Linked DNA regions of Rhinolophus ferrumequinum. The protein of the gene in region 1 binds, or shares a complex with, the protein of each later gene. Links are inferred from orthologs where the notes say so. Each region holds a gene or a part of one and is shown in the gene's direction. Other genes may lie near its edges.

The links.
Region 2: EIF4A3 (region 1) and MAGOHB share a complex: the UniProt entries of both Homo sapiens proteins name them as parts of the mRNA splicing-dependent exon junction complex. The link is inferred for Rhinolophus ferrumequinum from reciprocal best matches to the Homo sapiens genes EIF4A3 and MAGOHB.

Annotation. Positions count from the first base shown.
Region 1 is NC_046304.1:53,510,638-53,526,588, reverse strand, and holds the start of EIF4A3 (eukaryotic initiation factor 4A-III), read left to right. Parts: upstream 1-7,654; 5' UTR 7,655-7,690; coding exon 7,691-7,859; intron 7,860-10,357; coding exon 10,358-10,430; intron 10,431-11,426; coding exon 11,427-11,493; intron 11,494-11,902; coding exon 11,903-11,965; intron 11,966-12,578; coding exon 12,579-12,711; intron 12,712-12,939; coding exon 12,940-13,020; intron 13,021-14,069; coding exon 14,070-14,211; intron 14,212-14,577; coding exon 14,578-14,716; intron 14,717-15,334; coding exon 15,335-15,450; intron 15,451-15,951. UniProt on the Homo sapiens protein: ATP-dependent RNA helicase. Involved in pre-mRNA splicing as component of the spliceosome. Core component of the splicing-dependent multiprotein exon junction complex (EJC) deposited at splice junctions on mRNAs.
Region 2 is NC_046293.1:26,238,819-26,254,564, reverse strand, and holds MAGOHB (protein mago nashi homolog 2), read left to right. Parts: upstream 1-9,015; 5' UTR 9,016-9,089; coding exon 9,090-9,183; intron 9,184-11,443; coding exon 11,444-11,502; intron 11,503-12,182; coding exon 12,183-12,293; intron 12,294-14,223; coding exon 14,224-14,306; intron 14,307-14,823; coding exon 14,824-14,923; 3' UTR 14,924-15,184; downstream 15,185-15,746. Other genes in the region: tyrosine-protein kinase STYK1, read left to right, coding at 381-421, 1,014-1,110, 3,993-4,197. UniProt on the Homo sapiens protein: Required for pre-mRNA splicing as component of the spliceosome. Plays a redundant role with MAGOH in the exon junction complex and in the nonsense-mediated decay (NMD) pathway.

The DNA of each region.
Region 1 (15,951 bases):
TCAGTAAATTAGAGAAACTTGAGAAACTCAGTAAATTAGAGAAATTAGAGAAAATGAGGGTACAGACTGAGGGACTGCTAGAGAGATAGGTACACTAACATGATTTTTCAGAAATAAGATCACGTCCTACATGATTTAAAAGTAAAATTTTAATTTTATTTAAATTTAAAGTTATGTTAAAAAGAATCACGGAATTGCTGAATGCAGTATAAATGTTTCTCAACTGTAAGAACTATTACTTCCTTAGAAATCCCCGTTCAGATTAAGATAAGAGATTATGAAGCGCACGACAAGTCAGACGTGTGAAATTGACAAGCCTCACGTGAGATAGCAGCCCTGTCTCCTGGCCATGACATACAAGGTAGCCCACTGCCTGCAGTCCCTGCTACCTGTTGGGGTGCCCAGCTGTGACACGTTGGTGACTATTGCACCTGCCAACTCTCCTTGGTATCCTGAGGTTCAGAGCCCAGTTTCCTTCTGGAAACCTGCTTCCTAGGGCTGAGCCCATCGGTCCCTTCCTGTCCTAGCGTGCTATTCACAAATGACACAGTTTGGTGACCGTGTATCACAGACAAGGCGGCATGTGCACAGAGGCCCAGCCCCTCACGCTGTGGTGGGGACAACAGCAGAGGTGTCACCTCTGGCTTTTCCCTCAGTCCCACCAGGAGACGCCAGTCTTAAAGTATACAGGGCCTGGGTCAATCTAGTTGTGGAGGGTGCAGCTCAGCTCCAAGTCCAGTCCCCATTTTCAATCTTTAGTTGCAGGGGGCTCAGCCCACAATCCCATGCAGGAATCGAACCGGCAACCTTGTTGTTAAGAGCTCATGCTCTAACCAACTGAGCCACCCGGCCATCCCTGGGACAGGATTTCTTAACCTTCCACTTCATAAAGGAGAGTACAGCATCTTTATAAACCTTTATATTCCCCCCCAAATTTCTCACAAAACATCCACTTAAATATGCATCAAGCCTCAGCCTAGAAGTTCAAAAACAGATGGGAAATACACTGACCCTGGACTGTGACCCCAACTTCCTTTGATAGGGGTCCATGGCTCTGAATCTGCTTGGGTCCAAGGAGTCAGTAACCATAAAACTCAGGCTCACAAAATACTAATTCCATGTTTCCCCAAAAATCAGACCTAGCTGGACCATCAGCTCTAATGCGTCTTTTGGAGCAAAAATTAATATAAGACCCGGTCTTATTTTAATATAATACTGAGTCTTATATAATACTGGGTCTTATATTAATTTCTTCTCCAAAAGATGCACTAGAGCTGATGGTCTGGCTAGGTTTTATTTTTGGGGAAACACAGTTTTTGTTTTTAGCAAATTACACCTGGCTTGCTCTCTGGTATTATATTACACAGTTGCCAAGGGGCCACGTGGCCAGCTCCAGGTACTCAGATCGGTGAGCAGGCCCAGTGATCAGGACCGGCAGGGAACTGAGTCCCACAGGCCTGCAGGAACTTCGGGTGCCTTCCCAAGGCCGGTCCAGGGGTGACAGCCTGCTCTGGGAGGGTCTTCTGGTCCGACAGCCCCCCCCACTTGCCTCCCATGGGAGGTCTGACAGCATTTGGCTTTTCTCAGACCCCCCCATCAATCAAAGTGAACTCAGAAAGTCAGGGCCAGCTCAAGATAGAAGTTGTTCCAGGACTTTCTAAATGCCAACCAACTGTTGCTCCTGGATCCTGGGACCCCCAAAGCCATATTGGGGTTTGGGTATAAGTGAGTGTGGCCCAGGAGCAGCCACTCTAGCCCATTCTTCCTGCAGTGAAGCAGCTTGCAATGGACCCCGAAGGGCAATACAAAATGTGGGGGTTTCTTTTCAAAAACTCAGCCCCAATTTAAACAGGGGTGAGTCCCAACAGTAAAGCAAATTTAGCCCACAGACCCCTAAGGACGCTCTTCCTCTACAGCCATTCTAGGGGTGCCTAAGGTCAGAAGAGGCCTGAGCACCTAGATGGGGTCCTCGGGTTGGGTCCCTCCCACGCCAGCACTGGCCACACCTTAAGGCTCAGTGTTATTGCCTTCGAAGTGGGCGAAGGAGAAAATACGTGTACATGCACTCGTCCGCACGGGACTCCACAGAGGAAGGAATGCGTTAGAGGAAGCTTAGGGGAATTGATGATTCATAAATACGATGGGAGAGGCAGAAGGGCACCAAGCACCAAAGGAAGAAGCCCTCCCTCGCACCCCTGGCTCAAATCCACACCAAAGTGCCACTTTATGTCTGGCTGTGCCCTTGCCACCAAGAGCAGGCAGCTGGTCGCACTCACTTCGTACCTGAACTTAGAAACCCTCCTTCCCCTTTCTTTCGCCCTGGGGCAACAATGCTGAGATCAGAGTACAAAACAGTGCATTCCTTCATCCATCACGGCCCCAACTGTCTTACATGAAGGTGGGACTCAGCAGCCGATGTCCATGCAACTGAACCCAGCAAAACCTTCACAAACCAGGCCCCACCTTTGATGAGGAGGAAGCCGCCCCTAGCACCCCCCACCCCCCAAGGACAGCTCTCAGCCGCCATCCATCCGGGCCTGCCCACCCTCCCCTGCTGTGCTGACCTGCTCTCCTCGGCAGGGACTCCATGCGCTGACTGTCCTCGTGCTCCAGGAGGATGACTGACTGTGTCACACTCTTGGTTGAGAAGCAGAGAGCAAGCAGGTTTGACAGGCGTGTCTGCCGGGCCCTGCCCATGGAAGTGATGCCCTACACGGGGCCTCCGCGCATCCCTGAGGCCCCAGGACACTCCCACAGCAGGACTGCCATGTGCAGAGTTCGTTTTGCCATTGTGAGAGCCATGGGAAGCTTCTGGAAATGACTGCAGAAGGTGGTGATTGACAGGATGGGGGACGATCCTCCTTCCTTTGTGAACAGTCAGCCGGTTCATCATAACCCCTCAGGGAAAGTGCTGGGGAGACTGGGATGAATCCTGGAGACTTTCTTTGGTTCTCATGATCAAGTACGGGAAGTATCTTACAATTCCAATGGATGCACCTGAAATCAGCATTTGATGACTACTATTTAGATTCAGATGACAGTCTTGGTTCTTCGACTGCGTTTCCCCAAAAATCAGACCTAGCCAGACCATCATCAGCTCTAATACATCTTTTAAAGCAAAAATTAATATAAGACCTGGTATTATTATATTATATTATACTATATTATATTACATAAGACCCGGTTTTATAGTAAAATAACACCGGGTCTTGTATCAAGTTTTGCTCCAAAAGACGCATTAGAGCTGATGGTGCAGCTTGGTCTGATTTTCGGGGAAACACGGTAGGCTAATACATGTCCAGAATCGGATCGCTGCTTGACACCTGCATGGCTGTGCCCTGATCACCACCTACCTGTACCCCTGCAATGATCTCCTAGCTGCTTCCTCCCTTGCCCCCAAAGCTAGTTCTCAACACAGCAGGCAGAGCAATCCTCTTAAAGGGGGAGTCCGGTCACGTCTTTCCCTTTGATCTAGAAGCCCCCAAGTCCTCACCATGACCCAGACACAAAGCCCTGCTTATCTTGTACTTGATGACCTAATTCCCGTTCAACATGCCACACACAGGGGCCTCCTTGCTAGTCTGTGAATGCTCCGTGCACACTCCTACCCCAGGGCCTTTGCACCTGCAGTTCGCTCTGCCTGGAATGCTTTTTCCCTCACCTCCTTCAGGACTCCACTCAAGGGCCACCTTCCAGAGAGGGCTTTCCAGACCACTCTATCTAAAATCATAGACTTCCCACCCTGGCCGTCCCTCCACCTTGCCCTGATTTTTCTGTATTGGACCCATTGCTCCCTGACATATTACATATCCTAGTTCCTTGTTTGCTTCTTGCCCTCCTCCCCACTATGAGCCTGTGACCTCCAGAGGACAAGAATTCTTGTCCTTCGTATAGCAGAGCCAGGCCATCTTTTACACTGATTATCAGAACGCGTTCCTGTCCCCGCAAAGAACGCACCCTGAAGTGGCTACTGTGGCAACTACGGTGCCTTTAGCCTCCATCTCCTTGTCTGTAAGACCTTTCCTGATCTGTCCCTGTTCCCCTCCTCCCACTCCCCACCTCGCCTGCATTCATGATGCCACAACCACCCTGGCCTTGTCCTTTGACGTGCCAATACCCTACCCCTCCGGGGAGTCGTTGCACTCCGTCCCTTCTCCCTAGAACCCCGCCTCCCCCACCTCGTGTTTCGGTGGCCACCTCCTCTCACAATTCATATGGCACCTTTCTCCAGCCACCTGGTAAGTCAGCAACCTCCTAACTCCCTTCCACTTTGCCTCGTTTCGTTTGCAGCAGACTGGCTATAAAACCTGCAATTATCTTCCTGTTTTGCATGTTTTGTTGGGCTTGCCCTGTTCTGGAACACAGGTTCTGTGAGGGCAGCACTGTCTGTCCTTTCTCCACCCAGTCTAGCATCTCAGGGGTGCTGTGTGCACATCTGCTGCCCTGATACTGGACGCCAGCAGTGCGGGGTCAGCAGTCCAGTCCGGCGGGTTCAGGCGGAGCTTCGTCGGCTGCCCGCCTGGTGGGTGGGTTAGAGAGGGCAGCACCTAGAAAGAGTCTGCCATTGAGTACCAGGTAGTAGGTGGGGTTCCTGGCAGGAAGGTGCTGTTTGGGGACAGCCCCTTGGATCCAGGATGTCAATTCCCGTGGTGATGACTCATGGAAATCCAGCTCAGCCCAGCCCTACAGCACCCACCGAAACCTCGAAACCTCGTCCCGCCCCTGGACGAGGCCCACCCCTTTCACTGACTGCACTCGGGAGTCCAGCCTGGGCCAGGGAAAGAGGCAGATCGGAGGCGCAGCCCAGCGTCATCCGTCTTCCCCAACACGCTGGCGTGAACTCAGGCCCCCTCCAGTGTCCCTCCTGTCCTCTTGCCCCGGACATGCAGGCACACTTACTGTGTGCTACAGCAGTGATGGGGAACAAAACAGACATGGGCCTTCCCTGATATTGGTCTAATCAGGTGAGATAATACCTGGCCCCAAATATAAAGGGTGTGGGAGGTGAAGCGCAGGAGACAGAGTCTATCTGGGGGGAGAGGTCATCCCCCGGATTAGACTGACCCCAAGAGGACAAAGACGAAGTACGCTTTGTTCCCTATTGCTCCAAGAGCACCGTCCACCAAGAGACTGACTTGACACCCCCCCACCACACAGCTTCTGTCATTTTCATGGACTCTGGCCTGGAAAGCTAGAAGGTTATTGGTCCCAAACCTAAGGAAGAGACCCTTTAGAGGTGTATTCAGACACAACAAAGGGGACTTTGCCAGGAAAACAGCATAAAATACCATAAAAGTGTGAAGGCAAAAAATAAGTGTAGGTGGATCCCGAAAAAGATAAAAATTCCAAAGTGCAGAAGAGGCCATCATCCTCTCGGCACCAGAAGAGCGCAATCATTTCTTCCCCTCCTCTCCGAAGCCAGTGTTGTGTGAAGCCAGTGTCGTGCGGGGCGGCCTGCAGGGTCTCCCTCCCGCTCCCCACACAAGAATGCAGGATATGGTGAGGCCAAAAAGGAACACCCACGAAATTAATCTGGGGAACGTAATTTGGTGGTTACCAGAGGGTAAGGGGGTTGGGGGGTGGGGGATGAGGGTGAGGGGGATCAAATCTATGGTGATGGAAGGGGAGCTGACTCTGGGTGGTGAACACACAGTGTGATTTATGGATGATGTGATACAGAATTGCACACCTGAAATCTATGTAATTTTACTAACAATTGTCACCCCCATAAATTTAAAAAATAAAATTAAAAAAAAAAAAAGGAACACCCACGGAGCCATCGGTAGGGGAGTCACACCACTATACTCTTGCTGGCGGCTGGGTTGGAGACACAGGAACCAGGAGCCACACAATTCTCAATCCTCACTGCGCCGCTTGCAGACTCAGCCACCCTCTTCTTGCTAGCCCCCACTTGCTAGCCACAGCAGTTATATTAGTGGCCAATGGCTCACTGGTTACAGCTGACGGCCAACTAGCCACAGCTGATGGCCATTTGATCACAGTCGACGGCCATTTACTACCTGAGCCAGCACCTTTACTATGTGAGGCCGAGCGAGAGCCTGGAAACTGCTTTTTAGGGCTCTGTCCCCACAGCCAGAATTCCTCAAGTCAGTAACCTCCAATTCCCTAGTCCCCCCCACACTCCTGGTGCTTATTTTACATGCGTTAAGTACTTAGGGCAGCAAGACCAATCAGAATCTCATATAGAATTAAAATGTTTCTCGTTGCTACACTGTAATAGTAAAAAGAAACAGGTGAAGTGAATTTAAGTAAGTCAGTACATCTAAAATGTCATTTCAACATAATCAACGTAAACATTAGGCATGAGCTGGGACGTCTTTGGAATCTGTGCGCATTTGACAAACAGCCCTAGACAAGCACGCAGCTGGCAAAACCAGAGTGTGCGCAACCCCCGAGAAGGCACCGGATGGATGATCCCTCGTGGAGTGAGAAGACCTAAGAACTTCTATTTAAAGTCTAAGAAAGAAACTCGGCTTTATAAGTACTTCATATTTGATTAATACCGGCATCCTTCTTAGGTACGTTTAGCAGGTCAATTAGCTCTAAGGACTGGACTTACTCTGACGTCAGGGTGAGGGCTTGGCCGAGAAGCCCTCACTCCTTTGCTGGCAACCTGTGCAACCCAGTGCCCGCTGCGCTGCCGGGTGTAGCGGGTGACCCGAGCGTCCAGCGTTAACTAAACTCGCCTTCCCCACGGGCCGGAGTTCCGGCAGTCCCGGGCAGAGGCCCCGGGTGAGGGCGCGCCGGGTGACGCGAGCCAAGGAGTCAACGAGAAAGGACCGAGCTGGCGGCGTGCGGGAGTCACGTTCACAGAGGGAAAGACACACAGTGTTCGTACCCCGGGGGGGACACAGGCCAGGCGGGGAGGCCGGCTCTGCAGCCGGAAGTGGAGGGTCAGGTGGCACCACCGGCAGAGGCACAACTAGTTCACGTCCTCCAGGGCAGCACAAGGCCGTGGTCTCCGGGGGTAGGAATTTACGGAGGTCGGGGCTGCAGCGTCAAACGCGGGCGCGTCCCCACGGTCACGCAGCCGGTGCTGGGTCCCGGTGCGGGGACGCCGCCCGCCCGCAGCTCACACAGCCAAGTCAGCTCTCACAGGCCGATCGTGGCCTCCCGCGACGCGTCCTCCGCGGCCCAGCACACGGGACCTCAGCCATGAGCACTAACCCATCTCCCACGTTGTGCCCGCGCCCTCCGGCCCCGGCCAGCGCCAACGTCGGAATAAGCGTTTAAACGGGGGGACGTGCGCACTGGGGGGCCCTCGCCCCGGGTGCCACTTGAGGCAGGGCCGCCTGGGGCTCCATTCGGAACAGGGGCGCCCGGGCTCGGCCCGCGCGGAGGACACGGCCGCGGGGCCGCCGCCGCCTCAGCACCAAAGCATCTTCCTCCGAACTCCCGAGGCCCCACCCACCGTGAGATCCCGCGGGAGCTGACTTGGCGCGAGAGCATCAGGAACTCCGCCCCTTTTCCTGGGGCGAGCAACCCTTCCGCGTCGCGGGACGAGGGGCTCCGCGTCCCTGCTGAGGCGCGGCCCTGACGCACGCTCGCACGCACGCTCTACGCAAGCCGCGCGCCTGCGCGGTGACGTCAGTTCCTGTCGGCGGCGGCCTCGGGCCCTGTTTCCGCTGTGCGCTGCCGCGCGCGCTCCGCTCTCAGCCGACCCGGGATCATGGCGGCCTCAGCCACGATGGCCACCTCGGGCTCGGCGCGGAAGCGGCTGCTCAAAGAGGAAGACATGACCAAAGTGGAGTTCGAGACCAGCGAGGAGGTGGACGTGACCCCCACGTTCGACACCATGGGCCTGAGGGAGGATCTGCTGCGCGGCATCTACGCCTACGGTGAGTGGGCGCAGGCCCGGGGCGCGGGCGGGAGCGCGGGGGGCGAGGCGGGGGCCGCGGGGCGCGGGCGGGGGGGGCCGGCGCCGGACGCCGCGGGTCGGAGCTGAGGCCCGGCGTGGAGCGAGGCCTGGGGCCGCTGCTGGGCGCCCTCCGCCCCCAGCACGCCGTCCCCACGCCGCGTCCGTGGGCTCGGTGTGGGGTCCTCGCGGCAGAGCCCCGCGCTGGTTCCTCAAGAACTGCGAAGTCTTCCGGGCGTTTCCGAGTCGTTCATTCAGCCGGTACGGTCTCGCGCCGGCAGGTGTTAGGGCCGAGCGCGGCTCCGGGTACCGGCGTTAGCGGTGAGCCGGGCGCCTTCGTGCCCCGGGGAGCTTACGTCGTCTGCGGGAAGGACGGCACGTAGCCCAGGTCGCTTCGGGGAGTGATAACGGCTGTGAAGACAAGAAAGCGGGATACCTGGAGTGTGACTTGGGGGGAGCGGGGGTTGAAATAGAGCCGGTAGACGAGGGGGCTCCCAGGAGGAGTCGACGGTGAGCTGAGAGCTGGAGCAGGGAGCCCGTTACGAGAAGACGGGGGTGGAATTGGGCCGCGGGAGCAGCCGATGCCGGGGCCCCGCGTTCCCTGAGCGGGGTGCAGTCCAGGAACAGAAAGAAGCCTGCTGTCCTGGGAGCCCAGGGATGATGAGCTGGGAGAGGGGACCAGGGCCAGCTTTTGAAAAGCGTCACGTTAGGTGATAAAACGTTTGAGTTTGATTTGTAAGAGCAGTGGGCAGCCATTGGAGGATGGAAGCCAGGAGGTGAGGCCGTCAGAGTTACTTACAGATGTTATCCGGGTGTCTGGATTTGAGGGGAGGTAGGGCAGGAGAGGGGCAGGGGGACGAGTTAGGAAGCTTTTGCTCCTGGCCAGGGCAGAGGTGATGGTGAGCACCCCCCGGAGACGGGTGCTACGAGGCTCCCTGAGGGGCCGAGTCCGAGCAGCAGAGGAAAGGGGGCATGCGATTCCTGTGTTGAGCCGGTGGTGGTAGACACACCAGAGGAATGATTCGCGGGAGACCAAGAGTGGTCTGTTAGAGTTTATTTGGCTGTTTGAGCTGCAGGAGGTCAGGCTGGTGGAGCCAGCAGAGGGAGAAGATCATAACCCCCCGAGCAAAGGGGGATGGAGTTTTATAGGAGGGTGAACGAGGCTGTGCCCCCGTCAGTGACAGGGTTTCAGGGCTCCACGCCCCGGCCCCAGGTCACACACCGCCCGGGTGCACTGATCACAGCCCCCCAGGAGATAAAGCAACACAGGATCAAGACATGATGGCTTTGAAGATGCGGTTTCTGCTACTGGCCTAAATATGGCTTAATGGCTTAACAGGCGGGTGGTGCTGCCATTTGCTTAGGTGGGGAGCGCCCGAGGGAGGCAAAATCAGGGGCTCTGTCTAGGACATGGTGAACTTGAGGGGCCTGCAAGCCATCCCGCTGGAGATGCCGGGGAGGCAGGTGTCTAAGTGGGGAGCCCTGAAAGAGGTGGGGTCGGGGGTGCCGATGGGAGTGGTCTGCATCTGCCTCACACCTGGGACTGGGCCATCTTTTACCCAACAGCCCTTGACATCACCGCGGTGTAGACAGAGCAGAGCAGGTGCTGAGAGGATGGCAGGGGAAGTTGCAGTCAGGCTTTGGAGTGAGGCTGACAGCCCTGCCGTCAAACGCGGTTTTTAGTTTCCCGTCCATGTGCTTGGTCATCATGAGGGGTTTAAATCACCTATTGTAGTTGCTTTAGTGTTAGATGGGAAATTGTACTACATTTTAAAGTACTACCAAACTAGTTAAAATACAGTTTGGTACATGCGGTTTTGTTTACTTGGACAATATTTCTGTTCCTTCTGAGTGGGCTCCTCCCTCGGTCACTTACCCTGCTGTGCGAGAGGGATGGGTGGTGGTGGTGCCTTTCCTGTCGCCCCCGCGTCACGACAGGGAGGAACCGGGCGCTGACCACCCCACAGGGCCGCCTGAACAGTAGCTTATGTGCAGTTGCAGACGAAGCAAACAACCTGCAGACGTAATGCTGACACGAAAGAGTGGTGGTTACAGCATTAATGAATTGATTTTCCTTGTTTTAATTCAAAAGTAATGTAAAAAAGAAAAGCAACGCAGGTGATTGTAAGGTAGTCAGACAGCACAGAAGTAATTACATAGGCTAAAATGTGGGCCTCCCCCACCCTTTCTCCAGGAGTACCACCACCACCATTTTGTGTGTTTTCAACCCAACTAGGAGTCGTTATACTCTGCAAGGGTGTTCCTTGTAAAATAAGGGCCCGCGTCAGTCAGTATAAAAGGCCACTTCTGCCCAATTTCAGCAGCTGTTTCTTGAGCGCTTGGTATGTTGGACATGGGGTTAGGAGGGGTGGGGTGGGGGTTAAAAGAAGATGCCATCTCTGTCCCAAGGAGCTTACAGTATATGGGTGTAAAGATGTGGGGCTAGAGGTTCGAGCTAATTTGTTCTGGTTTTCTTTACAGGATTTGAAAAGCCATCGGCAATCCAGCAGCGAGCTATCAAGCAGATCATTAAAGGGAGAGACGTCATCGCACAGTAAGTCTGCTCGCACGGAGGGGTCACATGCTCTGGTAAAGCCAGCTCAGGTGACCCTGGAACAACACGGCTGTGAGCTGTGTAGTGCCACTTACACGCGATTGTATTCAGTAAATACGCTGAAGGTATTATTCTCTCCCTTACGGTTTATTGGTAACATTTTCTTTTTTCCAGCTACTTTATTGTAAGAATATAGTAGATAACGTAAGGAACGCAGTTGCTTACATTATGGGTAAGGCTGCCGGTCAGCAGTATCCTATTATAGTTCAGTTTTGGGGGCGTCCAAAGCTATATGTGGATTTTGGTCTGGGAGGGAGCTTGACCTCCCCAAACACTGCTGTACCAGGGTCAGCTGTGCACTTAAATGCTTCGGGGTGACCGGTTTTCTGTTTTTATAGATTCGTTAGCAACCCTTTCCATGACTTGAGCCACACGGTGTTTTGTTCTTTTGTTTTTATTTTTGTGTTTGCTATTCTAGAAAGTTAGTTTCCTTTTTTTTTTTTTTTTGTCAGCTTTGCTTACCTACCAGTGGGCATGTGGCATTGTATACAATACTCTTAATAGCTTTGTTCCCAATTTGTGTAGTTTTTAAAGACTCATTTACCAAAAAAAAAAAAAAGAAGAAGAAGAAGAGAGAGAAATTGGAGGATGGTTTTGGTCCTGAATGATATTTACAGGAAGGGAAGCTCTCTTTTTCTGCCACCTGGAGCACTTGCTGGCGGTCCAGATTTTGCAGCTCCGTCACCCTGATGCAAAAACCACAGCCACTGTCCTTGTCCCCTGTGATTTAAAAGTGGTGACACCATGCTGAGTCCCACCCCCTGGCAGTTAGGATCACAGTTAAGATGTTGGTCTGTTTGGGGGTTGGGGGCAACTGCTTGGAGGAAGCCGTCCAGTGCTCCCACCCCTCGGAACACTCTGGCGGCGTTGTGTGAATGGGGACAGTGGCATGTGGCCCTCGGTTGTAAGTCCCACTCGTCTGTGTTTTCCTAACAGGTCTCAGTCTGGCACCGGTAAGACTGCCACCTTCAGTATTTCCGTCCTCCAGTGTTTGGACATTCAGGTGATTTCCGCTCTGTCTATGCTTGGGAAAGACTTCCTTTTCCCCTGTCACTGCAGTGTTCAAGAAGTACAGTTTTTATATGTCTCTGGTTGTACTGACTCAGCGCCTTTTTTAGGAGAAAATTGCACACTAATATTTGAGCTTACTAACACGTTACCATAAATTACTATTTGTTTAAACTGGGCAATTTTTTAAACGTGGAAATTCTTGTCTGCAAACTAGAATGCTGACCAGTCTGCCCCTTTATGGCTGGATATGTGGTTTCCGGAACAGTAACTTTCAATTAGCTCTGTTGGAAGTCAGCGGTGTGGTTAACATGTGATAAGTTGAAAACAGATTTGAGTCTGAAGTAGCATCGTCTACCTTGAAAATACTGAGGAGTCTCTTTTCTGACGAATTATTTTACCAGGTTCGTGAAACCCAGGCTTTGATCTTGGCCCCAACGAGAGAGTTGGCTGTGCAGATTCAGAAGGTGAGACAGTCCCAGGGGGCAGTGTCGTGTGTGCGGGAGCTGCTCTCGAGCCCAGTCCCAAAGGGCCGGCTGAGGGACTTCATTGAATGCTGGTTTTCTATGCCCTCACTTTGTTTTCCCTGACTCCTAACAGTTTGCCATAAATCATTATATGTTACATGAGTCGCTGTTTTGTATGAAGTCATTTTTAGTGTAGCTTACATGATTCCAATAGTTTTTTGCAGTCTTAGAATTGTAGTGTTTTTTCCAACAACAAAAAAATGCATTTTAATAAAAATAATGGTAACTATGTTATACGTATTGTAAACATTTAGGAAGGATATACGTTAATACTGAGGGTGGACAGGAGTATGAGTTTTGCATAGGTATTTTCTGTTATCATGTATCGCTTTTGGATGATAGGGAACCAGTAAAACTGCCTTCATCTCACTCGGTGCAGAGAAGACTATGTAGCAAGAGGAGAACTGGGCTCCTTAGGTGTAAATAGTGGCCTCCGTGCTTGCTGGAATCTTACTGGAATAGCAGTGACCTTCCTTTTCGGGAAATGCAGATGTTTCTGACCTCCCAGTGGCCTAGACGCAGGCCATGGCCGTGACCCTGTGTTTTAATCCAGGGCCTGCTCGCGCTGGGTGACTACATGAACGTCCAGTGTCACGCCTGCATCGGGGGCACCAACGTGGGGGAGGACATCAGGAAACTGGACTACGGGCAGCACGTCGTGGCCGGCACGCCTGGCCGCGTCTTCGGTGAGTGCTTCGTCTGTGCCAGAGGTGCTGCAAGCGGTAGTATCTGTGAGAAGTGCTCAGGCGGTCAGGTCGTCTCGGTGTCATCCGCTCATGGCGGCTTCTGCTCGCCGTCACGCGTGTATAGGACCTGGAGGGAAGGGCTCTGAAATGCTGCGCAAACCCGATGAAGTGGCTAGTTCTTTCCTCGTAGCCTGATGTCTCTCATTATTTCCAACTCGAATTTTGTAGACATGATCCGTCGCAGAAGTTTGAGGACACGTGCTATCAAGATGTTGGTTTTGGATGAGGCTGATGAAATGTTGAATAAAGGTATGAGGAACGAGAGAACTAATTTTCTACCAACAAATAATTCTTTGTAAAATTGAAACGTGGAGATAATGAAAGTGTTCTTAGCATACTGTGTTTCCCTGAAAATAAGACCCATAAGACCAGGTCTTATATTAATTTTTGCTCCCAAAGACGCATTAGAGCTGATGGTCCGGCTAGGTCTTATTTTCGCGGAAACACAGTAAGTAGTTTTTTCTTTGTGGAAAACAGTTTTGCCTTGGGGGCCATAGGAACATAGAGCCCATGCTGTGGTCGTTTTATGGTTGGGCTTTGTACGGTAGCATTTCAACCCGCACAGATAGGACACCACTCTTCGTGTGCGGTGGTTGGTGCAGGTGACACAGGCGAGCAGCTGAGGTGCGTGTGGGTGGCTGAGGGGGTGTAAGTGGTATGCCAGCGGGCTGTGTTTGTGGCAGCAGGGCGTTCTGTTGTACAGATGACGCCTCGTTTGTGTAACCTGTCATTCTTTTGGTTATCTGGGCTCTTGTTCAGCCTGCACCATATTAAATCACGTAAATGAGTTGCCTATTTAACTGGCAGCTTTTTTATTGAGGTGTAATTGACATGTAACATTGTTAGTTTCAGGTGTACAACATAGTGTTTTGGTTTTTGTGGGAGACTTTGGGTTTTTTTTTAATTGGGAGTTTTTTTGGTAAAAATCCAGGTCTCTGGATTCTCTTAAAACGCGGCAGATCAGGCCACAGGGGACGCAAATCCTCACAGGGCAGCAGCAGCTGGCACTGAGTCAAGGCCACGTGCAGGCACCCAAGTGTGGGTGACTCAGGGCTCAGGTGTCTTGCTTGTAACTGTTGGCATCCAGGACTCTTGGGGTGGGGACCCCCAGAGCCCACGGGGCAGGCAGAGGAGCAGAAGAAATCTGTGGGATTGGTCGGCGGTGTGGAAAAGGTTCCTTGGGAGGAGCTGTCACTTCACAGGCATAAGTCCGCATCTCACCAGATGTGAGCGTGGGACGCTCCTTCCCTCCCGCGTGCACACCTAACCAGCTCCCCGGGTCTTGCCCCTCACCCCAGGTTTCAAAGAGCAGATTTATGACGTGTACAGGTACCTGCCCCCAGCCACGCAGGTGGTGCTCATCAGCGCCACGCTGCCCCACGAAATCCTGGAGATGACCAACAAGTTCATGACCGACCCTATCCGCATCCTGGTGAAACGGTAGGGATCGAGACAAGCCGTGCTGGGGTTTCACAGAGGGAAAAGTCTAATTTTCTTGTGTGGGGAGCCGGCCTCAGACCCAGTAATTCCAGATTTCAAAATCAGTTGACGGTGTTGGTTTATCGGTGTCTGAAGGCATATGAGTGTGCTCTTGTGTTTGGAACCACATCCAGGGCGGTAGCCGTTGTTAAAGGCTCAGACAGCCCCAGAGCTTGGGCCCGCGCGGTAGAAGTGACTTCTGGGAGGGTGTGGGCCAGCGGGAGGCGCGGGCAGGGGCTCACCGGCCAGCCTGGCGGGGCCCCCTGGCCTGCGCGCGCTCCACTCTTAGTTGAACGAAGGATAACAGGATTTGTCTCTGTCATCCAGTGATGAGTTGACTCTGGAAGGCATCAAGCAGTTCTTTGTGGCCGTGGAAAGAGAAGAGTGGAAATTTGACACGCTGTGTGATCTCTACGACACGCTGACCATCACGCAGGCGGTCATCTTCTGCAACACCAAAAGGAAGGTGCGCGGCTGCCTCGGCTCTTTCATCCGCGTGGTGAGACGCGGACATCGGCTCTCCCCACAGCTCGGGTCAGACTTGGCTGGGCTGCGAGGCCGTGCTTTCGGCTCTGTGTGCACGTGGTCTCTGTGACACCTTCACCTCTGCCCTTTGGCACAGAGGTCGCCGTGGACAACACGTGAACAAACGGACGTGTCCACGACACTGTATGGAAGTATTAATGCTGGGTGTGGCTGGTTGTAGGTGGTCAGGTGGTCACACAGTCCCCCGGTGTCGCCAATCTGTGTGCAGGCAGAACTGAGAATCTCCAGCAGCACCCCCGAAAAAGGAGGAGGTGTTGGGCCGCATTCCAAAAAAGATTCTACTTTAAACTTCAAATAAGCATAGTGAGAGGGGTTTTTTCCTGGAGAGATTTACAGGGAACGGATAAATTAGGATCTTTGCCCCGCTGTGTGCTGGGCAGAGTGACGTTTCCTGCGCGTCCAGTAAGGATCAGTAGTCCGAGGGGTAGGACACTTGATTCACGAGCGCTCACGTCGGTGCTGCAGCAAACTGAACCCAGTCCCGAGCGCAGCCTCTGCCTGGTTAGGAGCTTCCAGTACCTTCTGCCTTGATTTGCAGGTCGACTGGCTGACGGAGAAGATGCGAGAAGCCAACTTCACCGTGTCATCGATGCATGGGGACATGCCCCAGAAGGAACGGGAGTCCATCATGAAGGAGTTCCGGTCCGGCGCCAGGTGCGTGTCCGGAGCCTCCTCTTCTGTGCAGGTGGGGGGGTCCCGCTGCTGCGATAGTTGGGGTGATGACCACCAGCCTTCACGAGGTAGGTTGGTTGCCTCGGTAGGTTAGTTGCCTCGTGTGGAAGGTTTGTTTCTTTGTTTCCAAATAAATGGGGATTTTCTGTTTATCTTTTTGTAATTGGCTTTTAGCTTAATTCCACTGTGGTGGATTCCACATGTGATTGCGTTCCTGTGACCTGCCTGGTGGCCCGACACAGGGTGCTTTTACAAACGTCTGTGTGTGCTGCAAAAGCCCGGGTGTGTCCTGCGTGTCCCCGGTGGATTTCAGTGTCTAAGTGTGTTTTCTGACCATCTGCATCCTTACCTTTTTCCCTCTCCCGTCAGTATTGACAGTGCCAGGATGAGGTTACTCGTCTGCGGCTCTATCACGTCTTGTTTATGGGTCCTCAGACTGTGTGCGTCCAACCTCACAATTACTGTCTTTCTGGGGGATTTACC
Region 2 (15,746 bases), on another chromosome or scaffold:
CTGTGTGCTAAGAATAAAAGCTGGTATTTCAGCAGGAAGGAATAGAAAGAATAAAAAATAAGCAGAGGGGAATTTCTTTATGTTTGGATGAATGTGTTTGTATAAACACACACATACAATTTAGCCAATAATAGTAAACATCTATTAATATGAAATATAGAAGAAAGGAGACATAAATCCAGTTCTCAGAGAGATTAGCCTCCAAGGGGATTGGACAGAAATGCTTTCTAATGGCACTATTACTTGGCTTATTGACACCTTCTGTTCCCTTTCACTGCCTTCTTCACAGGGTTCTTACTGAAGGCCTCTGCTATTTATGTGAGCTCTCTTTAGGAAAGGCAGAAATTGAAATTAAGTAAATGACTTTGTTTCTTTTATAGCTGGTCCTTTGGAATCCTGCTTTATGAGATGGTGACTCTAGGTATGTAACTGTATGCAAGTGTGTGTACTGGGGTCGTGGATGATATATGCTATGAGAAGAGGTTTTAGTATAATCTCGGAGGTATGAACTGGGCTGACATGAAATCCTTCTCCTCCTTTTAACATTCTTTTGCTTTCTTTTCCTCAACACTTGACCAATTCCAAGGGATGTTGTGAAATCCAAAGGATAATGCCATGAGTGATCTTGCATAGCAAACAAAAAAAAGTTGTCTTCAGATTTATTAATCCATTTGACTGAGAAACTATAAACCGTCTCACATTTGGGGAGGGAGGGCAGGTGTTACTACTCACTTTGCTTTACTTTGTTCCTTTCCTAAAGACTCAACATTCTCCTAAATCATCAGTTTTTCCCCCCAAAACACATCCCCCCGCCCCCAATTTTCTATGTTATATCTTAACTTGATCATTAGGGAGCAACTATATACATAGTACCTAGTATTTTTCCTACGGCTTATATTTAACTTACTTTTTGCAGCCAATTAGCCCAGGTGGGTGGAGAACAGTGTTGATATAGTTGATGTTCTACTGGACCTAAAGTGCTCTTGCTACTCTCATTCTTTCCATACCAACAGGGGCACCACCATATCCCGAAGTCCCTCCTGTCAGTATTCTACAACATCTCCAAAGAAGGAAAATCATGAAGAGACCCAGTAGCTGCACACACACCATGTAAGTGGCATTTAAGGCCTACTTGTCTCTCATTCCAAGTATTTTTTTATTATTATTAGTTTCAGGTGTACAAAACAATGTACTAGTTAGACATTTATACCCCTCACAAAATGATAACCCCCTCCCCCAACCTACTACCCCTGACATTGTATATAGCTGTTAGAATTCCATTGACTATTGCTGTACTCTATATCCTGTGACTATATATATATATATATATATATATTTTTTTCAACTATAATTTAGTATATTCAGTATTATTCCGCTTCAAGTGTTCACTGCAGTGGTCAGGCATCTACACCATCCACGAAATGGTCTCCCTAATAAGACAAGTGCTCATCGGATACCCTACAAAAATCTTTACATTATTGATTCTATTCCCCAAACTGTCTTTCCTATCCCTGTGGCCATCTTGTGGTTACCGATTGTGCTTTCTAATCCCCTCACCTTCTCCCTCATCCCTACCCTCCTCCCATCTAGCAACCCTCAGTTTTTCCTCTGTATCTCTGAGACTGTTTCTGATCAGTTTGTTCATTTCTTCTATTCTTTAGATTCTACATATACGTGAGATCATATGGTATTTGTCTTTCTCCGTCTGACTTATTGCACTTAGCATAATGTTCTCATCTATATCGTTGCAAATGATAAGATTTCATTCTTCTTTATGGAGTACTACTCGGCCATAAAGAAGAATGAAATCCAAGTATTTTTTGCTGCCTATGAATCATGCCCTTTTCAAAGTGACTCAGTTGATCCCTAGCTGTCCTTTCTGTGCTAATGTGCATCCCTAGACCAAACCTACACAGTAAAACACATCTGCTCATACATCATATATATACATATTGCATATGTATATGTGTGTGTATACACACATACACACACACACCATGTTGAGGCAACTATATTATGAATCTAAATTTGATAGTTTAGTTCCTCCAGAAGTTTCTAAAATAGGTAAGAAGTAGACCAAATCCAATGCAGGTACAGAGTATTTTATTCGTTGAAATGTCAGTCTCAGTCAGAGACCGCCAGCCTCAGTTCTAATATAATTGCCATAAAATCCACTGCACTAGGTTACTTACTGGCTCTTATTTAATATTTAACTTTTAAAAATTATCTATTTTTCCAGCTATAAGCACATTAGAAACCAACCAGAGGGGCGGTAGGAAGAAATTAGAAAGGCAGGAGAAGGAGAATCCAATATTGTCAGCAGAAAGGGACAGCTGGTGAACCAATACAGAGCAAAAAAATGGAAAAATTTAAAGTTGTGCACAGAATTTTATAACCAATAAAATACAAAAAGGGATGGTTATAGGACATAAGAAAAGGTTTAGATTATTTATAAATGTATATATTAATATACATTTTCATTAAAATTGTAAATTTTGCAAATTTTTCAGCATCAAAAGGGTAAATTTCCAGTACCTGGGTTTCCCTATAATAAACATTTACTATATCAAGCAGATTACAAATGTTAACTATCGTAACTATAAATACACACACATACACACACACACACACAAACACACACAATATAGTGATACTGGCTGGGTATACCAGAATGAAATTGTTGAAAAATGTTTCTTGCAAACTTTCTATGTGTAAAAGGCTGTCCTTGACACTGGGGGGAGACACTTAACTGATAAAATACCTAATCTTGAAGAAATTAACATTGGATAAGGAGATACCTGAAAAACATGAAAATCAACATAAAGTGTTAGGTAGTAAATAAAATGGTTAAAAGCTCAGATTCCTCTCATAGAGTCAAAAAGACACATGCTCAGTCCTAGTCCTGTTATTTTACTGCACATTGTTTACTTATCTTAAAATAGGTAAAATGATAATCCTACCTTTGTTATTGTGAGGCTAAAATGAAATAATGCATGTTGAGTTCCACTTCCATGCCTTATATAATAAGTTCTTGGTAAATGTTAGTAGTGTTAAAGTAGCATCTTTCACAAAGTCTTATGGTACAAGGTTAATGAGCGTGGGAAACATGGTGGGCTGAGGTTTATAAGGGAAGGTTTCATAGAGGAATTGAGATTTAAAACAAACCTAGGGAATGATGACGACAGAGAAGATTTCAAGGCTTTGGGCATAGCATGAGCAAAGGCAGAGCTGGGTGTTAATAGCACATGTAGGACATAGCAAGACACTGGGCTGGAGGAGAGGGCTTCAGTTAGGCCAGGCCTGAGTGGGAGACAGCTGGGGGTAGGATGTCGACATCATGTGGTAGGCGGTGGAAAACTGTTGGTTCTTGAGCAGGGTATCATCGTACATGATAAAAGTATTTGAAAACAGATAGCATTATACATTCTCTAAACTGGATTGAAGAAAAGATGGATTAAAGTATTTTTATCTAGATTAAGGCAATTTCCTGAAGAAGCTAAATTATAAAGGGGGGAAATGACCTCGATTAACGGAAGGGAACACCTAAAAATTAGTATGAATCATATTATTCCATAACTTCTTATTTTCCTGGCTATAATGTAGCTTCTACTGATACATAAATTGTAGCAATGGTCTGGAATGCTACAAGTTAGTAACATCTAAAGGTGAGAACACTTGACTTCTGAAAGAGCATTTGGCAATAGAATGGGGGAGGAAAAACCACAAACTGTTCTGTCATACTGATTGTACTCCGAGGAATCTTCAGTCATTACTATTATAAAAAGGGTGCTATTGAGAAGATGATTTTAAGAGACTAAGTATTAAGAGGACGAAATGAATATTAATCTCTGGGAAGAATATGAGAGACAGGACAATGAGAAGTAGATTAAAGAACTGTAGCGCTTTTTTGTTCAAGTTTGTTTAGGAGAGGAGACGTGTTTCTCATACACTTGCCTGGTCAGGGAAGTCAGTGTCTCTCATTTCCCTTGCAGGTATGGTCTTATGAAGTCCTGCTGGCGCTGGAGTGAGGACAGCCGCCCTTCCCTTAGAGAGCTATGCTCACGCCTAGAAACTGCTGCTCAAACTGCAGATGACAAGGCTGTGCTGCAGGTACCAGAGCTGGTGGTGCCTGAGCTGTATGCAGCTGTGGCAGGGATCAGCGTGGACAGCCTCTCCTACAGCCACAGCTTCCTTTGACAATCCCAGGGCAAGAAACATCCATGGGTGATCATATACTCTTGGAACCAATTTCTCCAAGAACAGAGGATGGACTTTCTAATGGGACGTAAAGAGAGAAAGAGGACATGGATCCTGGATTTCCCCCATACGTTTCCCTAGATATGTGAAGTGATGCTGGGTGAAACTCTACACGCTGCATACCCTTGAGGCTGAGAAATACAATTTCATTTCTGCTGTCCCAGTCTTGAAGACTCAGGGTAGAAGTGGTAGCCAGTGTCACTGCACAGGAGGTTTTAGAAATCTGTGATGTTTGCTGGGGCACAGTACAAATAAGCTGGTTGCTCCCACCACAGGCTAGTTTCCTCCTGAAGGATGCTTTTATCGAGGCTATTATAAGGTCCACAGAAATTAGTCAAATGAGGGACTAGAAAGCCAATAAAGAACTTGATGAGAGAAAATTAAAGGTCCTTCTATTTGCTCAGGAGTATAGATGTGGACTAAGGTCATCCTTCAAAGTGAAGGTGGAGAAAGGATGTCACATTCCTCAGTCCTGGCCCCTTCATGCAGGGCTGGAGGAGAACTGTGAAGGAAAACTTCTGAGTTTCCCCTGAGCGTAGGTAAGAGAAAGATAGCCCCCTTTTCCCTAATAGTAACACAGGTAAACCCTGGTGGTTTTACTTTTAACGAGAACCTGGAGGGATCATTTTATGATTAGGAACATTCAACATGTGTTCATCAGGCCAGCTTCCTGGTCCCTGTAAGACTAAGGAGACGGAGCCTGGAGAGTCAGGCTCATGATGAATATAATGTGTGTGTTTAACAAATAGGGAATGTGGAAATCAAGCAAGAATGCTTAGTAGGCCAGAAGGTCTTTAACAAGGGCTAGCAAAGGACATCACCTGAGACAGAAGGATGGTAGCTTCTGATTTTCAATCATCTGCTGATGTATTGTGAAACTTATTTCATTACGTTAATATTCACTGAGTGAAAGTGGGCTTTTCTAGTATACAGCTGCTAACATCTTGACAATAGGGAGGATAAAAGTAAATAAATGGAAGTTAACGTCAACAGAAAAATTCAAGAGGCAATCTACATTGGCAGAAAATGGATAAATGGGGATAATACTTACCTCACAGGGTTGTTGTGAGGACTGAATGAGAGTATGTATTTGTACAGTATCTGGCACATAATATGTACTCAATAAATGTTAGTTTCCTTTTTCCCTTCCTATCCTAGAATCTTTCATATCTTTTTTATTTAAAATCTGTGGCTGAGAAGCGAACCTAGGTTTGTCAGTCACATTGCAAGGCAGGGCCTGCCTAAGGATGATGGTGTGGTACAAGCACCACAGGACTAAAATGATGAAGTAATCATTTCTGTGTGAGCTTCTGGAGGATGGGAAGAGTCTCCTCCTATTTCAAAACACTGAAAATATCACGATGATGACAATTCAGCTGGACATGTGATCTGTGATTTTAAAGAATACTCACTCGGGGTACTCTGGGTGGGACATCTAAGGCTGTAGGAAAGATGACTGGCAGTTGAAAATTTCATAAAAGTTAGACTCCTGATGGAGTCATGATGAGTCATCCAACTAAATAATGATTCTTGTACCTGTAGGAATACCACAGTGAACTAGTCAGGATTTAAAGGGGTGGTAAGTAGCAGTAGAGAGAAGGAAGGTTGAGTGGCTTGGCACAAAATGATGAAGTCCTCTGGAATCTCATTGTTGTTTCTTGGCTGTTCATTTAAGTCAAATTTACAAAATATTTATTGATTTAAATATTTTTTAAAAAATTGAGTGGTAAGTTTAAGGACAACACTGTTATACGTTGTGCTAGGTGTTGGATAAAAGGAACGGAGAGCTTTTGATTACAGCCTAGAAAGTAAGAGACATTATACACTTATTTATGTGGGCATTTGTACATTACAAATTGAATAAACTGTAGTGGTGATACCAGTAAGCATGCCCTAAATTGAAGCCTACAACCACTGAGATTGAGATTTCTTAATGTTCGAAAAATGTTTTCACTATTTCCAGCCCAAGTAAAAGTGTATGAAACGTGTCTTATATAACTTCACTGTCCAACACCATAGCCAGGGGACACATTGCATTTAAATATTAATCTAAATTCACACAAATTAATATTTTAAAATAAAAAATTCAGTTCCTCAGCCTCACTAGACACATTTCAAGTGCTCAGTAGCCATTCACAACATTTCCATATTTCTGTTGTATAATATCCAAGACCACAAAACAGCTTATGTTTTATTACTTTGCAATCCTTATACTATGAGAGAGACACATTTTTGGCTTTTTTTTTTTTTTTTTGCTAAAGATATGAAGGATTAATATATTTTCGCAATTCATTTTAAAAACAGGATTAGAGAGGATTAGTCTTGACCGCAGAAGTCTTTTCAGGGCATAGAGACAGTAATTGGACCACAGAGAAAGATTTTAACACTGTGCATTCCATAAGCTCTATTTACAGTCACAGATCTGGTATCTGTAGCTCTGTTTAGGTAAACATGAATGCTAGCATATGTGTCAAAAATCTGAAAGAAATGCATTAGGGAATCTAACGAGATTGAATGAGGCTCCCTACAAAAAACAAACCAAATGGATTACTGCCTGTATTTTCATAGATACTGTGGTCAAATTTCTGTGGGTTATTCTTGTAATAGGTACAGTGACTGAGTCATCCCAGCTTACCTGGGGCTTCCCAGGTTTTAAAACTGAAAGTCCCACATCACACAAAACTCCTCAGTCCTGGGCAAACTGGAATGGTTAGTCGCCCTAGTGGTAAAGGATGGTGCTTTATGTTTCTTATATATTTTCCCTAATGGCAGCCTGTACAGTAGGAATTGAATAATTTTCCTATGTAAACACTGATGCAATGGTTAATACAAACTACTATATTGACAGTTACATAATCGTTAATATAGAGTCAACATAATCCGGGCCAATCTGCCTTTCTAGCTATTCCACTTTCATGAACTTCATGTTCTAACTATACTGAATTTCTTGGCCTTCCCAAATCATGCTGTCATGCGGGGTGTCAGGCGGGGTCTCTGGTCCCGCTCCCCACACAAGAACGCAGGACATGGCTAGGCCAAAAAGGAACACCCACGGAGCCATAGGTAGGGGAGTCATACCACTGTATTCTCGCTGGCGGCTGTGTTGGAGAAACAGGAAACAGGAGCAACACAATTCTCAACCCTCACTGCGCCGCTTGCAGACTCAGCCACCATCTTCTTGCTAGGCCCCCATTTTCTGCTAGCCTAGCCACGGCAGTTATATTAGTGCCCAATGGCTCACTGGTTACAGCTGACGGCCAACTAGCCACAGCTGATGGCCATTTGATCACAGTCGATGGCCATTTACTACCTGAGCCAGCACCTTTCTATGTGAGGCCGAGAGCCTGGAAACTGCTTTTTGGGGCTCTGTCCCCACACATGCATTTTCACACCACTGTGCCTTTGCTCAGGTTGTTTTCTTCCTGGAGTGCCTTTTCCATCCCTCTGAACATATAGTCAACTTATCCCACAAGGTCCAATTCAAATAGCACGTCTTGTCACACTAGGCTTCCCCGATACTTCCCTTTCTTCAGCTTCCTGTTCCCCAATAAAGTGACTTGCTTCCTCTGCTGTACTACCAGCATTAAAAAAAATTCTTTCTAACATTTGCTTCCTTGTGCTAATATGTCTATATGTTTATTTTCTAGACTGCAAATGCAAAGGCTCTATCTTTTTATTAACAGTGTCTAACCATTTCTGGCACATAGGAGTACCTGTTAAATCTCATTATTTAATGCTTTATACATTTTAAATCTATTTTACATGCATTATCTCATTTGGCCCTCTCAATTCTGTGTGCTTGGCAAAGTTGACTGTAGTATATTCATTTGGTTGATGGAAAAACAGACTTAGAGACAGTGACTTAACCAATGTTAGGTAGATGTAAGGGTTGGGAATGAATCCCAGGTCTTCTGTCTGCCATTCTTCCTACTAAACCCCACTGAAGGTCAAAAGTCATCAACAGGATTACTCTATGTGTTGGTAAAGGAAGGATGATCAATATTTGAAAAACAGACTTTGTGTGAAAGCTCACCTGGCCTTTGCCCATCCTTCTAAACCCTTTGGTAAGCATCCCTCCCCTCCCCAATTTATTCTATTTGGTAAGAAACGTGGGCTAAACCATTTGACCTTAAGTCACATTGCCAAAACTCCTCAGGCCACTAAAGATTAACCTTTCCTTAATGAAAGAAGTTTTACTATTAAAAGGAACTCTTTTATACCATGCCTGTCGGGATTTTCATTTTCAATGTGCCTTTCAAATTTTCAGACCTCTTGTCTGATGGATTCTACCTTGTCTCTATTATTCATAGGCATCAAGTAGCCGGACAGCTAGCACTGTCCAAAGGGGAAAGCCCCGAGTTAGGAATCTAGCAGGAGAAAAGGGTTTTATTCCAGATCTATCATTTCGATTCCGGGCTTTATCTGGACTCATCCCCCCAGTTAAAGGGGAGTGATGCCACGCCCACCTTTTCACAGGATGCCGCGAGAAATCGAGACCCGAAAACTAAACGCGCCTTGCAATTGCACCTTAGTTGTAAGCCGATAAAAAATGCTATCATATGTTCACACTTTTGTCCTTTGCTATTTACGATTTACTTAAGTTTGAAAATAACATGCCTCTGTCGCCAGTAAGCGAAGTTCGAGTCGTTGCGACCCTTACTCCGCTGGCTTCGGGCCTCCTGTAGGAGCTGCAGCCTCCCAGCCCTCCTCTGGGGAGTCCGGAGGCAGAAGGGGCGCGCCGCAGTGACGCATTTCTCCCGCGCGACTGACGTCACTGCTAGGCGCCCGGCGGCGAGTAGGCCAGGCCTTCGGCGGGCTTTCTGGAGACCAAGATGTCTCTGGCCAGCGATTTCTACCTGCGCTACTATGTAGGGCACAAGGGCAAGTTTGGACATGAGTTCCTGGAGTTCGAGTTTCGGCCGGACGGTGAGCGGAGGAGCGGCGGCGGCCGCCGCCTTGCAGCGCGGTGCTGGGCCTGGGGGAGCGGGGCGGAGAGGCCGCGGAGGAGGCGGGGTGGGGTGGGCGAGCCCCTGGGGTGGGCGTGCAAGTGTACAGTGAGGGCTGAGGCCACTGCTTGCGCCGAAGTAAATGGGAGCTTGAGAATACAAGAGGCATAAATTATTCACAAAAGAGGTGTTGTGAATAAACGAGAATTAATCGATGTAAATTAATTCCGAAAAGGTAATCCTGCCAGATACTACAGCTGAACCTACGGTAGTCAGGATCCTAGACTCAGCTCACCGGAAAGGACCGGAAAGGCCGTCTAACGTATCGACCTAATACTTGAACGTTTTAAAGAACATCCCCCAACGTGCGTTGATTTAATGGATGCTTAAAATCTTTTGGTGGCCAGTAACTTTTGGATTTACCCATTCATCCGTTTTATTCATTCAGGCATTGTATGTAAGGCAACATGTCTAGAAAAACGAATGAGGCGTCCTCTGAAGGGGAAGACCAACGTGTAGAAAAATGAGTGTAATGGTGTATCTTTATTGTGGGTGCTTCAATACAGTTGTTCTCTATAGTATGAATTAAAATTAAAAAAGGAGAGTGGTTATAACGTTCTACATGAAGGAGCGGGGAAAGCTTCCCAGAGAAGGTGACAGTTGAGACGATCTGGAAATAGATTATTTTCTTGGCCTCTGCAGGAAAAACAGCAGTGAGAGCAGCGTGAGCAGAGGGCGAAGTAAAACTGCCTGCTGCCCAGGAAGTGTACAGCAGATTCTATTTTTCCTCAGCTCTGATTCTCTAGAGAGTTTTATTGTATATTGAACTCTTTTTGCAACAAGCTCAGTCCGACTGCATAGACTTTTCTTTTCTGAATGCATGGTATGTGCTGGGCAGCATGTAAATACAAAAATTGAGGGTACGGTAGTGGTTAAGACTCTTTAATTTCCCACAAGGAGTTACATCTTGATGGGCAACACATACATGAAACTAACCATAAAGCAGTCTGGCTATTAAGTGCTGTGTTCGTGTTTTGGACAAAGTTCTGTGAGAACTTAGGGGAGAATCACATATTAGAAAAGGGGAAGAGTATCAGACATTTCAGGTCACTACAGACCTGCAATTATTTAGAAACCTTAATCACCTTTTTCTCTCCTGTTTTCCTCACGTCTGTTCTAAATTTAGCTAAGGAGCCAATTTACCTGAATTCTCCATCTGTTGTTTCCTTAGGTGATGTTTTTTCAGTGCTTTGGCCTGGGAATAGTTTTCAGCTTGTCCTTAGCCAGTCACATAAATTAAGTAGTCTAATGTTATCAGGGAAATTTCATGCCCAAACAGTGGTTCTCATCCATTTATCAGCTACCACACCATGCACATATTTCCATCAGTAATAGTGATTCCTAAGGCGTTCACCTCATTAGGTTAACCTATCATTTTAGAGGGTCAGGAGCACATTACATCTGTACCTGGGCAACTAATTAGCCATAAGGGGAAGTATGCATCAGGGAGTACAAAAGTCATAATGGATTAAAATTAAGTATAGATTAGCTAACAAACTGGCCAACTTTTATCCAGAAGCAGCAGATAGTTTGTGTGCTTCCTAACCACAATTCTGAAATACTACCATTGCCATATTATCATACGTGCATTAATTTGAAGGAAAATAATTACTCCAAATTTTGGAGTACTTGGAAGAAGGTATATCTAGAGCTGAATCTCGTGTTACCCTGGGCAAATTACTTAACTGTTTTCTCAATTATCAATAGGTGTGAGAATAAAACCCACTTTTTAAGGTTGTTTAACTGATTAGATTAAATGCTCTGGGCTAATCACTTGGTACCAACACAGACACAAACTTTAAAAGAAGAGTTTTTTCTCTTTTCAGATTCCCTGTCTAGTTTAGGACATAGCTTAAGAAAATGGGCCTTAAAAAATGGCCTTCCCATTATACTGAAGGTATAGAATATTTAAAAATTATATTGAATATTTAGAAATTATATCAAAGGCATGGAATGTTTAAAAATTTGACTAGCTTCAACTGTAGCCAACTTACCAGCAAATCTTTGTGTGCCTACATGTCTAGCATTAATCTTATGCTGAGAGGGAAGAATTATTAATAAAAGTAGTAGTATAGTATGGTCTTTATCTTCAAAATTGCTTACAGTGTCATTTCTTTATTATTATTATTTTTTTTAGCAGTTTTTGCTGTTATAGATTGAATTTTTTCCACTCCCCACAGGAAAGCTTAGATATGCCAACAACAGCAATTACAAAAATGATGTCATGATCAGAAAAGAGGTAAGATTTTTTTGAATGTCCAGTTTTTTACATTTGCCATTTTCCTTAAGTCTGTGTTGAATTTACAAAAATACATATAAGTCCGTATTGTAAAGAATCCAATTTATAGATTGAAAAGTGATTCAGTTTAAATTAGATCTAATCATAGCATCTGTAACAACAAAAGAAGCAATCTGAATATATTGTTATAGTCTCATATTTGAACATACCATTTAATTCACTTCATAATTAATTTGTCTTTTTACTCTATTCACTATTTAAAACAATGATCATGATTTAAACACAATATGAATTTTAAATGAAAGGCTCCAAAATTAGGGATAAAAGTTCAGATCACTGTGATGTGTTCTAGTATTTGTCTCTGTTCACCTCAAATTTTGTGTTGTCGCTATGAATCACTTGGAGATATTTGAGTTCCATGTTAACCAAGGCAGAATACAACGGTTTAAAAAGGGGCTAAGTGATGTGACGAGGGAACAATATATATTAAAAGAAAAGGGCAAGAGAGAAGAAAAATCCTAAGAAGGATGAATGATTCCCTCCCATCTTGTACTTTGGAATTAAGTTTTTCTGTGATATTCTATTTGAATATTTAGGATTTTTAACTCCATTTTATCATTTCCTTCTGACCTGTGGGAAGAAATAGGCATTATGAAATTTTTATTGTAACTTGTTTTCAGGCTTATGTACACAAGAGTGTAATGGAAGAACTGAAGAGAATTATTGATGACAGTGAAATTACCAAAGAAGATGATGCTTTGTGGCCTCCTCCTGATAGGGTTGGTCGACAGGTTCGTATTTAGGGATTCTTTAAATGCATAAATATTAAAAATTGATAATATAACTGTTATGTTTCTCCTTATTTAGAATAGATCCTCACTGATTCTTTAGTTTTTTATTTAGTAGATACCTAGTAAATACGCTTTAATTTTCTTTTACTTGGTCTCATTTTTTGTGCTGCTTCCTAGTAGTAAAGGAATCCATGTATAACTGTAAATTGAGACATCTTTCTGAACAGTCTTTGTGGCAGCCAGCCCAGGTTAGGATGTTTTCACACTGTTATGGATAATTTCTATTATATGTTAACCACTTTTATTAGAAATAAGTACAGGTGTCTGTGAAATTGGAGACAGGATTCTCATTGACCATGTAAAATTTACTTTCTCTAAATTTATAACTTTGAAAATTCTTATTTGTATCTTTCTGCCCCAGAGAGGGATTTGATTGGTTTCTTTGTTCAAACTGACCACTGCCTTTGCCTCTCATACTCCCTTCAGAGTAATTAATGTTTCTTAAAGGGCTTCTGAAGAGATCTGAAGGCCTAATTTCACTCTGTTGAAAGACAGTTTGATTTCTGAATTGGATCTTTTCAACTCTTGGAGAAATGCAATATGACCCTTGGAAGAAGAAACATAATTTCACTTTTGTATATTCCTGAGGATTATACGTTGTAACACCTTTGAGTAGAAGAAAATGTATGGAGAAATTTTAACAGATGTTGACACTCTGTAGCAATAACTTAACTCTATTTAAAGAAACATTTAGGAAAACAAAAGTAATAGTAAAGAGTATTTTATGCATTGTAAACAGTTTTAAAACACAAATTTTGATCTCAGTTTGTTTTATGCATATGTACATATGTTCTAAAAAACAGAAACAACAGCAATAAACTGTTTATCTCTTTTAAACTCAGGAAGCGCCCAGTATTTTCATCAATCCACTTGATGTGATCATGTGTTTTGGTATTGGGGAGGATTTGGCATGCTCCAGAAATTGTCTATTGGATCTTTAAGTCAAATATTTTATGATTATTTAAGAACCTTAGTTAATTATTTTGTGTGTGCCATAAACTGTGCATAATTAGGTCTTCTGATCAGTGATGTAGCTAAGACTGTCTTGAATGGCGTGCTATTTAACCTGAGAAATCACCACACACATAGCCTCTTAATTGTTGGTTTTAGATTTGCAGATAAAATACAGAGAAAAATTTGTACAATAGTTGTGGCACACTGGGGACATCTACATTATGTTGTATTTGTTTTACTAGTTCTTAATTTTAATGTTTTGTGAAGTCAAAGTGTATGAGTCTTTCAGTCTTACAGTCCAGGATTCAAATATTAGTACCCTCACTTATTGGTGGTTGTGAATATCAAGTTTTTTCCTATGCTTTCTGAGTCTTGGATTTCACAGTTGTAAAATACGCTTACCTCCCAAGCGTATTTCAGGGATTATAGATAATGTCTGTAAAGTCCGTAGCAGCAGAGCCTGACACATAGTGGGTACTAAAGTGGTGCTGTTATTCATATTATACATTTTATCTTTAGAGCCTGGTGAAAGGGTAAGTGTGTTTATATTTATTATATTAAAAAGACTTAGATCATATTATTTTTACAACACTGTGCTTCAGAGTGATGCCAATAGTTTTTACTGACATTACATGAAACATTTATTGTCACCCTGAAGTATGTCATTCATTTTATAGTATCTTTATGAGATCTCTGGAGAGGAGTTTTGGTTAGTCCTAATACTGGGGACTCTTGAATAGGTGATCAGGTTTTTATTTTATAGACATAGTTTATGTCTAACAGATCAAATGTCTTTTTTTCTTTTTCTTTGTTAGAAAAACTGCAGCTAAAATTGGGACTTCTCAGTAGCAAGAATACAGATATCTCTGGGATGAATTTTTATATTAACTACATCTCTCTATTTTATTTTTTTCAGGAGCTTGAAATTGTAATCGGAGATGAACACATTTCTTTTACGACGTCAAAAATAGGTTCTCTTATTGATGTCAATCAGTCAAAGTGAGTATGTTAAAGCATTTTCATTAAATTGATAACATTTATTAGAGAGGTTCATTTTAAGACTATATCCAGTTTGAGATCATTTCCATGATACCCTATCAGTTTATTATGCATATGAAATTCTGATTTTTATGTCATTAAAAACTTGTTATCGAAGAAGGTAGCAGTGTATTTTATTGATTTTCAAATAAAAAATCTTAATCTGACAGCTATATATAATAATGCCCAAGTTTTATTAGCTACTTTTTTTTGGGTAAAAATTTGGACACAGTGTCACAAAATTTAAAAGATATCCTTATTGGATATTAGCCTCATTAGTCCCATAGCACATCACATCGTTTTCCTCTTTGGGTGTAATACCCAAATAAATGAAAAAAAGAATCCAGTGTAGCTTAATAGCTTTAGCTACGTATGTCTTTAACTTAATTGTTTTAGGTTTTTGTTTTGTTTTATGAATTAATTTAAAATTACACTATTTCTAGGAACAAAAAGTAACTTTTACCTTTTTAAATTTTAGGGATCCTGAAGGCCTTCGAGTATTTTACTATTTGGTACAGGACCTGAAATGTTTAGTGTTTAGTCTTATTGGATTACATTTCAAGATTAAACCAATCTAAATTGTATGTTTTTTTAAGGTGTTTTTATATTTAATTAAGGGATGGGTAAGGGAGGGTTTGTTTGTCATTTACAGTATTGGGATTTTTATGAGTGTGAAGCAAACAAATTTTCTTTTTGTATGCAAACTGAAAATAAGAAAATACATAAACAGGCTTAATGGTTATCTTCACTTGTGTCCAAGTGGGTTGGACAGTCCCCACACACATTGAAATCTGTAAATAAAAGCCACCTTTCATTCCAATAAAACTTATCAAAGCCTGGATGGAGAGTGTTTTTTGTTTTGTTTTTTTCCCTCAGGAGGCTATGTCTCTTACTCACTTTAAAGTTAATAAAAAATTTATCGTAGGAACATGCTATAGTACACGTTCTTTCAGGTAGGAATATGTAGCCAGATTCCCTTCCGTTAAAGGCAATTGTAGATCTTCCCTTATTTCTTCCTTACCTGATGGGATTTAATTTTGTGGTGCTTATAGAGGTTGTTTACAGAAGGTTGTGGATTTTTACATTTATCATAAACTCAGGGATTATTTACATTTAAATATTTTTGGTATAAGCAGTGATTTCCTCAAGGGTAAAGCCAATCAATACCCCAAGTTAGGCATATCTTTTATTATGCCCTTTTTCACAAATATGTATTTTCTGTGTCTAGAAACTAAATGAGTTCTCAGCTTAAAAAAATTATTTAAAATTTAGATTTAAATGTGTGCGTGTGTGTGTTTGTGTATGTGTATCTATATATAGTAACTCGTAATGAGCACAGGTCCCACTCATATTTCTCAGTTTCTTTGAGCCTCTTTCTGATAGACTTGGCCTTGTATTATT